Linked DNA regions of Drosophila melanogaster. The protein of the gene in region 3 interacts with the protein of the main gene of each other region in a pairwise test. Each region holds a gene or a part of one and is shown on either strand. Other genes may lie near its edges.

Region 1 (3,753 bases), on a different chromosome or scaffold from region 3:
TGGCCAGCAGTAGTCCCTTAGACTGCTTCTCTTCACCATCCTGCCCTCTGGTCGCATGTCCAGCTGGTTCTGCCGCTCGTAGCGATCTACGGCGGTGGCAATGGGATAGAGAGGTCGCCCCACCTTTCTCGACTCCTCCATGATCTCGACCGCCTGCTCAAAGAACTTCTTGTCATCCTCCAGGTATGGATCCTCATTGCAGGCGGCCAGGTTCATTAGCTCGGCGCGCCGCTTCTCGAGGAACTCTTCCCGCTGGCCAAAGAGAACGTTGCGCAGCTCCTCCTTTACCTTGTCCCTCTTTCGCTTCTGAGAGGCATCGAAGAAGCGATTCGCCTCGGCGTTCTTAAGGCGGCGCGCCACATGGAAGCGCTGCAGCTCCTGCTGGCGGCGGAGCTTCTCGGCGTCCTGCTTCCGCTCCAATTTCTGATACGCACGGCGCTCCTTGGCCAGCATCTCCCTTTCGCACTGACGCCGGCTGTCGTCCACCTGCGTCTCAAAGGCATGGCGGTCCTCCGCGTCAATCTGGCGCTCTTCCAGCTTCTTTTGAAGCACTTGCTGCGCCTGGGAGACACGGAGTGCCTGTAGCTCCCTCTCCTCCTGACGCTTCTGCCGCAGCTGCTTCACGTGGCTTCCATAGCGACTGTCCAGATTGCGACTAGCCACGATGTAAACACAGTTGCGCCGGTCGTCAATGGCGTCGCAAATCCGCTCGTCTGGGGATGAGGAATAATATGAATATATCCAGTTCTGCTAAATAGTACTTACGTTCTGCAATCTCCGCCTTCTCTTGGAGGGCCTCCTTGTAGGCCTTTCGATTGAAGGCGATTTTCCGGGCCTTCTTCTCTTTGAGCGCCTTCTCCTCCTTGTCCTGCAGACACTTGTACTGAGCCCGATCCACCTGCTCCTCGAAGACCCGTTGCTCCCGCTCGGCCTCCCTGATCCTTGCCCGCTGCGCGATGTCCGCCCGCATGAGCTCGGCATGTTCCATATTCTTCGCGGTCTGCCTGGCCACCTCCTCCTCCTCGGTGGCGTGGCCGAAGGGCACCAGGGCCGCAGGACACATCTCCTCATCGGCCCTTTCCTGGGCACGGGCTGCCTCCGCTATCTCCTCGTTAAGGGCCTCATTGTACTTCCTCTGATGAATCATTTCGCTGTAAATGAGCGCCTGGTGCAGAGCGCGGGGTCCGGGCTTCAGTTGATCCAGTAGACGATTGGCTCGCAAGATCCTTTGCTTGCGCAGCCGCTCGTCCGCCAACTTTGTGTCCACATCCTTTACCACTGCCATGGCTTCCTTGCTCTGCGCCCTAGCTGATTTCTTGACCTTCGGAGCATTGGGATCTGTGAACAGGCTGCAAAGAAGCTCGTTGCCGTCCTTCAGGTACTGCCGATACCTGCGTTCCTCCTCGACGGCCTCCATTTGGGCATGCTTCTCATCCTGGCGAGAACGTCCCTTTATGGCTGCAAACCGCTTGGCCGAGATCACCACCGGATGCCGCGTAAAGCGCTTCCGGACAAAAAGTCCATCGGGACCCACTTCCTTGGGCTTGCACACATTCATTTTGGCTATGGCAACATGAATATAGGATCAGTTCGTAATGTTGTTGATTCGGCAAGGGTGTTGTATGTATGATCTCCTCAGAAAACAGGAAAGCTTCGCTTATAAACAAAATATATGTCAACACCTGGACTACTGTGCTTCCATATCGATTTACCTAGGTACTTTTGTTATTTTCTGCATGGGTTACGCGCAAAGAATAAATAATGGCCAAGTTCAAATTAGAATAGATGGATGATTCAAGTGAAAATTGAAGGTCACTTTATCCAGTTTGTCGGAATATTTTTCGATATTTTAGGGCTTGCAGGTGGTAAGCGACGTTCATAACATTGAAGTTCATGTTCCACTTCCGGCTATTCGATTTAAGGCCGCAGTTTGCTACGAATTTGTATTTCACCTATTTAGAGGAATATTAACTTACTTCGAGTGTCAAGTGGTTTCGAGTTTTCGATCAGTACCAGCCTCTAAAAGTGTATTGGCTGGTTGCATTTGGTGTTATTGAAACATTTATTAACCGTTTTAAATCGATATTTAATGATAATGTAATAAACGCATTCTCCACTTAACCATCAATTCAATTTGATCAAAAATAGAACACATATTCAAGCTAAAGAGCCAGGTTACGTCAGTTATCCACGGGTGGTCGACCGACCAAGAGCCATGGATCACAAGGTTTTCATTTTCGCCGTTTCGCTATTAGTGGCCTATCTAAGCTGCGGAGTAAGAAATCGGATTGTAGGACCTAATTACATTTCAATTAAAGCTACACATTCCATCAGGAGGCGCCCTATCTCAAAATGACAAATGCAGTGTGCAAATCGTATAACAAATCGTGGGTGGTTGTTCACTACTGCCGCCTGAAGGCCTATTCTCGAGCCAAGACCAGCTTGAATATAAATGTCACGTTCGTGGAGCCGGCCAGAAATATATCAGTTCACTTTAAGACGATGAAAAAGGCCAATGGGTATAAGCCTTTTTTGTTCGACTACACCTTCGACGCCTGCGAGTTCATGCGAAGGCGCAACCAGCCAGTGGCCAAGATCATCTGGTACATGATCCGGAACGTGTCCACCATCAACCACACCTGTCCCTATGAGGTGAGGTCTCCTCAAACTGCTATTTAGGGACATAACCCATTCCATCTTTCAGGGCTTGCAGATGCTGAGCGACTTTCACAAAGTCGACATTCCTGTGCCACTGCCATCTGGGGACTATCTACTAATGGTCGACTGGTTGTTCGATGGCAAAACGCAGTTCGCCACGAATGTATATTTCACATTTATAGAGGACTTACTGCCGACGAGCTCGAAGCACAGAAGGGGCAGTAAGGAGTTCCCCGTCTTACGGAACTGATATTCGGTTGCTATTCACAAAAATACGAAAATTGTAACGACACTAGAATTTGAATAACTAACAAAAATTGCATCGAGACCCTTTTACTCAGATACTAACTGACTTCACAACTCAGTTCCCGAGAACATTGGTTTTTGAAAGGGAAGTAGATCCTGTAAAATGGAAAGTATAGATTTATTTTCTAGGACTCAGAAGTTCACACGCGTCCAACAGAAGTATATATGCAACTGGTATAATGATCTTCGATGTACATACATAACCATTACGTAATTTTCCAGTCGAATGGCTCCATGATACATCGTTTTTACCACATCTGCTAATAGGGTTTCAACTAAAATTTGTATTTAATGAAGCTTATTTACCAGTACACCGTCAGTTTTCAACGGAGTGGTAAACAGCCATGAATCGTAGGCGGGCCGCTTTTGTTGTTTCGGTAATACTTGGCTTTCTGGTCTGCGGTGTAAGAGATCCAATAACATATTATATATTTTATAAATACTTGAAAGCTTCCCCCAGGAGGCACCCCTTGCTAAAATGACGAATGCTGTGTGCAAGTCGTACAACAAATCGTGGGTGGTTGTTCACTACTGTCGCCTGAAGGCCTATTCCCGAACCAAGACCAGCCTGAACATAAATGCCACATTCATAGAACCAGCGAAAAACATATACCTTCACATGAAGATGATGAAGAAGGCCAATGGGTATAAGCCCTTTTTGTTCGACTACACCTTCGACGCCTGTGAGTTTATGCGAAGGCGCAACCAGCCGTTCGCTAAAATCGTTTGGAACATGATCAAGAACGTATCCACGGTCAACCACACCTGTCCCTATGAGGTGAGATCGTA
Region 2 (3,753 bases), on a different chromosome or scaffold from region 3:
AAGTACCTAAGGAATCGTTGTACATGCAATTGGCTTGGATTTGTGGAAAACATGGCGTAAGAATTATTGCACTTATGCCAGTGAGCCATAGCCTCTTTTATGGCATGATCTGTCCAGCATTTGTTGGCCTCTTTTAGCCTAAAAACATAGAATAGTGAAATAAATTTTAAAATGTATGATTTATAATTACTAACCGAAAGCACAGCATGAGAATATCCGCACACACTTGCGATGTAATAAAATCCTTTTGAAATATGCCGGCACAGAAATACCTATGTAGTTCTATGTTACCCACTAAATACAAAAGACAACCAAACGCATCCAATACTTGATTATAGCGTTCGCCGTGAACAAAATTTTTAGCATCTGTGGGCTCAGTAAGTAGTAAGAAATAAATATGATCGAATCGACACCTTACCTTTAAACAAATATTCAAAAGTTTGTTGTAATGTTCGGCAAGTAGATGGGAGCACATCCGCATCGTCTGTAGACACAGCATTAATAAAATCCATGCAAGCGTCGAAGTAGTCAAATTTTGGTGTACCAAGGACACTGGATATTAAATACTAAAAGGACAAATTTTAGTAACATTAACAAAATCTGATGATGTATTGTATGAATGAATAGTTTTCAATCAAAGTCTATCCGAAGACATTTATTTGCAAGCGATTTCTGAATTTCATCTTACTTCTTGACATTTTTGGAACTTGTAAAGCAGCTCTAAAATATCTAGTACATGTGGTCGTACTAACACAGAAATTAGCTGTTGCTTCTCGATGTCAGAGTAATGTGATGGCCTCCTAAAAGAAAATACAATTATTGCAAATAACCATTTCATTTTTCAAACTTACGTTCGTTCACACATTATTAAGTCCATCAGACAAACAGCTACATCATCATCAACATACACCACACCTTTTTGAAGAATATGATATAACAATACAATGTAGGTCCTGATACCATCTACAAGCTCCTCTAACTTTTCCGCAGGAACAATACGATTGTCCTAAAAAAAATGTCTTGTTAAATAAACTCTTTTACAAATCGTAAGCTTTGTTATACGAACGATGTCAAAAGTACTATTCAAGTGAACGGTAACCACATCACATAGATGAAAAACAGTTTCCCTAAGCCAATTGGGCAGTTTTTCGTCTGTAGGATTAGCATGCCAGGTTGTCATGAAGTGCAAGCAAATATGAGCCAACGTCTCGCCTGTCTGTACAGATAACTGCAGATCACCAGTGCGTGTTCCTTCGGTATCTGCGATTTCCATTATCTTTTGCATCACTGACAATTGTTTAATATAAAGTCTATAATTAGTCTACAACAACTTTCAGATAATACTCAAATTTTTGGGTGTATCAATTCGTTAGTATTCCTAACTTACAGGTCGCAAGGCGAGGGTGGACTTCTGTCAAATTAATGATAGAATCCTTTATTAAAGAAAGCGTTTCGAGTTGAAGATCCGCAACAATCTGGCGATGACTCTTATCGCTGAATGATGTAAGCAAAAATATATAGAAATATTTTACATATAGGTTTTATCCAAGCCCCTCTTACCACATTAAACAGAAGTCGATAATTGTAAAGACAAGATAGGCAAGGATTTGAACCAAACGTTCGCCTGCTTCCAGCAATCGATCCCTGAATGTGGATACAAATTCTTGTGCCACAGACATGAGTTTTATATGACCGCTGTGGACTTCATTGCCAGTTTCTGCTTCCTGAGGACGAATTTAAAGTTAATAGACTGAAGCGCATTGTGTAAGAATTACCTACGATCGTGAACCACTTGCACATTTCCCGAGCTGCTAGTACACAATACCCGGAATCGTCGATGTATGCTCCTAATAGTTTGGTGAACCACAATGTCAAGACATCCACAGGATTCGCGGATTTATTTGCGATACATGCTGAGCAAATGGAAACCGCCGAATCAAAGTCTATCATCAGGATGATGTCCTTCTGGTCTATAGCCACCAGCTCACTGTAGGCTACAGATGCACCCAGGCTATCATGGTTTTCGGACATCTTTGCATTGAGTCTAAATCGAAATATTCAGTGTGTTTACAAAATGATCGCGCCCATAGATGCGGAATCTTACCTGTCTAGAGCGTGACTATTGTCGATTAATTATAAAATGTATTATTAATTTTATAGTGAATTTTTTCTTATTACTCGCCAATAATTCTGCGGTTGAAGTAAATAAAAAATTTAATTGAATTTAAATTAAAAATGCGTACTAAATACAGCTAACCACTCACACGGAGCAAAAATTAAAAACGTATCGATAGTTATATACCGATACAGAAGACAATACTTCCATCACTAATACAGCGCACGTTGTTTTCCTTTTTTATTTCGTTGTATTTTTATTTACCGAAATGCAACGAAAGGAGGCCAATCCCTTTCAGATCCTGGGCCTACGTCCATGGTTGGTTAAGCAGCTGACCAAGTTGGGTAATGTCAAGCCGTCCACGGGTTTACCCAAGTAATTAAACCATTGCGCTTTCAGGCCTGAAGGGAGCAACTCCAATCCAACAGAAATGCATCCCAGCGATATTGGCGGGCCAGGATTGCATTGGAGCTGCCAAGACGGGCTCGGGCAAGACCTTCGCCTTTGCCCTGCCCATTCTGGAGCGGCTGAGCGAAGAGCCAGTGAGCCACTTCGCCCTGGTGCTGACGCCCACGCACGAGTTGGCCTATCAAATCTCCGAGCAGTTTCTTGTGGCTGGACAGGCGATGGGGGTGCGCGTATGTGTTGTCTCTGGCGGCACAGACCAAATGGTCGAGAGCCAGAAGCTTATGCAGCGACCGCACATCGTGGTGGCCATGCCCGGCCGTCTCGCGGATCACCTAACCGGCTGCGACACCTTCTCCTTCGACAATCTGAAGTATTTGGTTGTTGACGAAGCGGATCGCATGCTGAACGGAGACTTTGACGAGAGCCTATCCATCATTGAGCGCTGTTTGCCAAAGACAAGGCAAAACCTTTTCTTTTCCGCAACCATGAAGGACTTCATAAAGGAGTCCAGCATATTTCCCATTGCCAGCGATGTAAGTTTTATGAATACCCTGTTGAATGGTACTAATAGATATCTTAATCCGAATGTAGTGTTTTGAATGGTCGCAGGACTCAGACGTGGCCACTGTAGAGACTCTGGACCAGCGTTATCTGCTGTGCGCCGACTACGATCGCGACATGGTCTTAATAGAGGCACTAAGAAAGTATCGCGAGGAGAACGAAAACGCTAATGTCATGATCTTCACCAACACAAAAAAGTTAGTTGCACAATAATAGGAAGTAAATTCTAAGGATTTAATAACGAATCATTTTAGGTACTGTCAGCTTCTCTCGATGACACTGAAGAACATGGAAATCGATAATGTTTGCTTGCATGGTTTCATGCGGCAAAAGGAGCGCGTAGCTGCTCTAAGTCGCTTCAAGTCCAACCAAATACGTACACTGATCGCTACGGATGTGGCCGCCAGAGGTCTGGATATACCCAGCGTCGAGCTGGTTATGAATCACATGCTTCCCCGGACACCAAAGGAGTACATCCATCGCGTAGGCAGAACAGCAAGAGCGGGGCGCAAGGGCATGTCCATCTCCATATTCCGCTTTCCACGCGATCTAGAGCTTTTGGCCGCCATTGAGGAGGAGATCAACACCAAACTTACAGAGCATCCCATCGATCGTAAGTTTTGTTGGAATTAGTGGCACACAAAATAACTATCTTTAATATATATATT
Region 3 (3,753 bases):
CCATATGGCGTCGTGGTCGAGGTATCTGTTTGCCCAATTAAACAAATTTTTCGACGCGAAGAAAAACGTTTCGTTGATTTATGATACTCAGCACTTCCGTTTGGATCCGCAGATTCTCCGACTTGTATAAAAGTACAGGAGTCGCCGGTCTAAGATATTATTCGGTTCGTTGCTCCTAAAGCAAACAGATCATCTAAAATGGTAAGGATCTCCCATCTGTATTGCGGATTATATTAGTTGGCATATTATTCTATTTCGATTTTTCCCTGTAGAAATTCTTTATCTTGACCTTGGCCGTGGTTGGCTGTGTGGCCGCCGAATCTGGCTACAACTACAATGCTCCCCGCCAGGTAGCCGCCTCTGCCCCGGCTCCTGTTTTCCAGCAAGCTGCCTCTGCTCCGGCTCCAGTGAGGACCTACGTGCCCCCAGCTCCAGCTGCCTCTGCCCCAGTGCAGTCGTTTGCCCCTGCCCCAGCTCCAGTAGCTGCTCCTGCTCCCGTTTTCCAGCAGGCCGCCTCTGCACCCGCACCAGCCCGCACATACGTGCCTCCCGCTCCCCATGTCCACCACCATGCCGCCGCCTCAGCTCCAGCTCCCGTTCAGTCCTTTGCTCCTGCTCCAGCTCCCGCCCCCGCCCCCGTGCAGTCCTTCGCCTCTGCTCCAGCTCCTGCTTTCGAGTCCTCCGGACCGGTGTTCGAGGCCGCAGCTTCCGCCCCCTCTGCCGCCCGCTCCGGATACGATTATAGCCAGCCCGCCGCCAGCCAGCAGGGATACAAGTACAAGACCGTCCGTCGCCGTGTGTTCAAGCACCGCGCTTAAACGATGATGATGATACGATAAAATGCGACAATAAAAAACTCGAATATTAAATTTATAAAAACATAGTTTTATTTGAGCATTAAAACACTAATAAAGATAATATGATAATTTGATAATTAAACAAGAATGATATGGTGTATAGTTTTAGCAAAAGAAGCGCGCAAAAAAAAAAACTATAAAACCTAAAACAACATTTCAAAAGTGCTAAAATTCTTGCTAGAAAAGAAAAAAAAAATCGCAAAATTAAATTTTATTAATAATTGTTAGTTAGTACTGGAGTGCAGTTTTTCTTATCCATAACTAACAATCAGTTGTTAATGATAAATTAGTTTGAAGCTTCAATTGTATTACTAGGCCAAATTCACACCTGGAAACGAAGTTCAAAGAACCCATGCGTTATCGCATAAGTGTGCAGCGCACTTGGGCCAATAAATTTAAACGCTTTGATCTGACAAATTTACGGGACACTTTCGTTGTGCTTCAGAATATTCAATAGAATTTAAATTGGCGGCTATTCAATAAGAACAAATGGGTCACATAAAGCGCGGAATCGATTTCTCACGCTCGGCAACAGGTTTCGCTTTCAACTGTGGTCTTTTTTGGGGGCTCGATGTGGGGATGCAACAAAAAAGATCCCGAAGAGAGTATATAAGTTGCATCTACAGCTGCTTACAGTCACTGGCACTTTAGCAATGGTAACGGATCAACGATAGGTTCTAGGTTCCGCATTTCACCAATCCATTTTTATTTTAGAATGTCCTCGTGATCCTGGTTCTATGCCTTATGGCAATCGCATGTCTGGCGGACGTTTCCCATGTGAAACACCACAAGCACCAGCGGCATCATCACTCCAGGGATCACGAAGATGACGATGAGGAGTCCCATTACCTACCTCCCCACGAGGAAAAGGAGGTGGAGCAACCTTTTTACAAGAAGGAGAAGCACACCAGTGAAAAGGTGGTTTACCACAAGGTAGAGGAGCACGAGGAGCCCAAATACTACAAGGAGCATCAACATGAAGAGCCCAAAAAGCAGCGAGTGGATCACTACCATCACTATGACAAGAAGCCAGAAGTAAAGACCCAGCACATTCACTACAAGCATAGCAAGCCCCATGTCCGTACGGATTACAATCAGGACTTGTTCACCCCAGCTGCTACCCAAGTGGTTTATCGCCGCCGTCGTCCTAGTCGAATTCTATACGCCAGTGCCCCCAACTCGGTGTTCCACACCCACACGCAGATCAACGTGCAGTCCCAGGATTCGGAATTGAATTCCCTTACTCGCCCAGATCGTGCAGCAGGAGCACAGGATCCTGCTGGGGCTCAAGCACCGACTGGAGCCCAGGCACCAGGATTTCGACCCAACTGCCAGTTTGTTGGACCTGGAAACGTACCACCTGGCTGTGGACCCTCTGATCCCATAGGTGCTCAGCTACCAGCCAGTGCTTTGGCTCCCACTGGTGCTAATCTTCCGGCCAATCAACCTGTTGCCGGCGGACAATTGGCTGTTCTGGGTAACGGTCAGCGACCTCCACGTCCAGGTGGCTATGGAGGTGGATATGGCAACCGACTCAACTTTTTTGTTGATCCTTCGCTGGGCGCTCAGCTGGGAGCCATAGGTAATGCTGGAGCTGGAAATCAACAGGCTGCCGGAGGAGGTCAGCTTGCGGGAGGAGCTCAACTTGGAGGGAGCCAAGGATTCGACCCTTCCTTTGGTGCCCAAGCAGCTGCCGGAGGACCATTTAACACTGGTTTTGGAGCTGGTCAAAGACCTCAAAGACCTGCGCAAAACCAATATGATCCCAACCTTCAGCTAGGTGGCCCTTTTGACCCCTCCGTGGGTGCTCAATTGGGCGCAGGTCAGGGTGTTTCTAACCAAAGACCAAGTGGACAGGGAGCATTTGATCCTTCTACAGGTGCTCAATTGGGCGCAGGTGAGGGTGTTTCTAACCAAAGACCAAGTGGACAGGGAGCATTTGATCCTTCTACGGGTGCTCAATTGGGTGCAGGTCAGGGCTTTAACCAGAGACCAAGTGCACAGGGAGCATTTGATCCTTCGACAGGTGCCCAACTTGGAGCTGGACAAGGCGTGCCTAACCAGCGACCCAATGCAGCTGGACCAGGAGCTTTTGATCCCAATCAGCGACAGTCCGACCCCTCCATTGGAGCCCAATTGGCAGCGGGACAAGTACCACGCCTCAACAACCGACGACAGCGCAATCGATCCAACTACCAGGGTCTCAATGTGCTGAATGGAAACGTTTTCGGACAACCCCATCTCCAGGGACCCACAAATGCGCTGGGAAATCAACAGGACACCAACATCATAGACGGCAACTTCTACAGCGATCCTCATCATGGACACCAGCGGGCTTTGGTATCGGTTAATCCTAATCAGCGTTCAGTCCTTATACCCGATGACGATGATGCGGACGATGATGGGCAGCTAGGATTTCTGGGCTTTGCGGCTAGTAACAAGCAGTCCTCTTATGTGGTTGCTCCCAAACAACTGCGATCTCATAGGCGCAGTTCAAAGCGAAACAATGTGGATCTTAAAACATCTGCTTCGGAGTACGACACTGACTATCGTGAGGATGGCTATCACTACCAGAAGCCCAAACAGTCATTCGAGTTTTAAGTATTTTAAAACAGAACATATTATAACATAAATTAAATCATACTTATCAGCATTTGCTACAAGAGCATACCAAACAAACCTTGATTACTTATTTAAAGCATACTTTCAGGCGAAAACTATGGCGGCTACTTCCGTTTCCGCTCAAGGTAGCTTTAAAGTTTGTTGAGAAATCGACACGGGTTTTCAAGCTGAGCTTTATAAATTGAGCTTTTGATTAAGCTTTACACCAGACTACAAATATCTATATTGCACATAAAAATATCCAGATATTTACCAACTATGTATATTTGATTTT

What was found.
Region 1: the proteins of CG11349 (region 3) and Crtp interact in a two-hybrid assay, tested with the Drosophila melanogaster proteins (one large-scale study listed by BioGRID).
Region 2: the proteins of CG11349 (region 3) and CG13742 interact in a two-hybrid assay, tested with the Drosophila melanogaster proteins (one large-scale study listed by BioGRID).

What each region holds. Positions count from the first base shown.
Region 1 is NT_033778.4:24,492,411-24,496,163, reverse strand, and holds the start of Crtp (Caldesmon-related protein), read right to left. Parts: upstream 1,647-3,753; 5' UTR 1,559-1,646; coding exon 766-1,558; intron 714-765; coding exon 1-713. Other genes in the region: CG13590 (uncharacterized protein), read left to right, coding at 2,216-2,275, 2,335-2,652, 2,705-2,908; CG13589 (uncharacterized protein), read left to right, coding at 3,309-3,368, 3,425-3,742.
Region 2 is NT_033778.4:9,085,527-9,089,279, forward strand, and holds the start of CG13742 (uncharacterized protein), read right to left. Parts: upstream 2,107-3,753; 5' UTR 2,105-2,106; intron 2,045-2,104; 5' UTR 2,032-2,044; coding exon 1,780-2,031; intron 1,725-1,779; coding exon 1,561-1,724; intron 1,495-1,560; coding exon 1,388-1,494; intron 1,288-1,387; coding exon 1,067-1,287; intron 1,007-1,066; coding exon 852-1,006; intron 801-851; coding exon 689-800; intron 567-688; coding exon 419-566; intron 367-418; coding exon 195-366; intron 192-194; exon of another isoform or gene 139-191; coding exon 1-138. Other genes in the region: Dbp45A (DEAD box protein 45A), read left to right, coding at 2,385-2,460, 2,516-3,057, 3,116-3,282, 3,340-3,698.
Region 3 is NT_037436.4:4,471,567-4,475,319, forward strand, and holds CG11349 (uncharacterized protein), read left to right. Parts: upstream 1-1,501; 5' UTR 1,502-1,510; coding exon 1,511-1,513; intron 1,514-1,571; coding exon 1,572-3,458; 3' UTR 3,459-3,529; downstream 3,530-3,753. Other genes in the region: CG32248 (uncharacterized protein), read left to right, coding at 199-201, 273-818.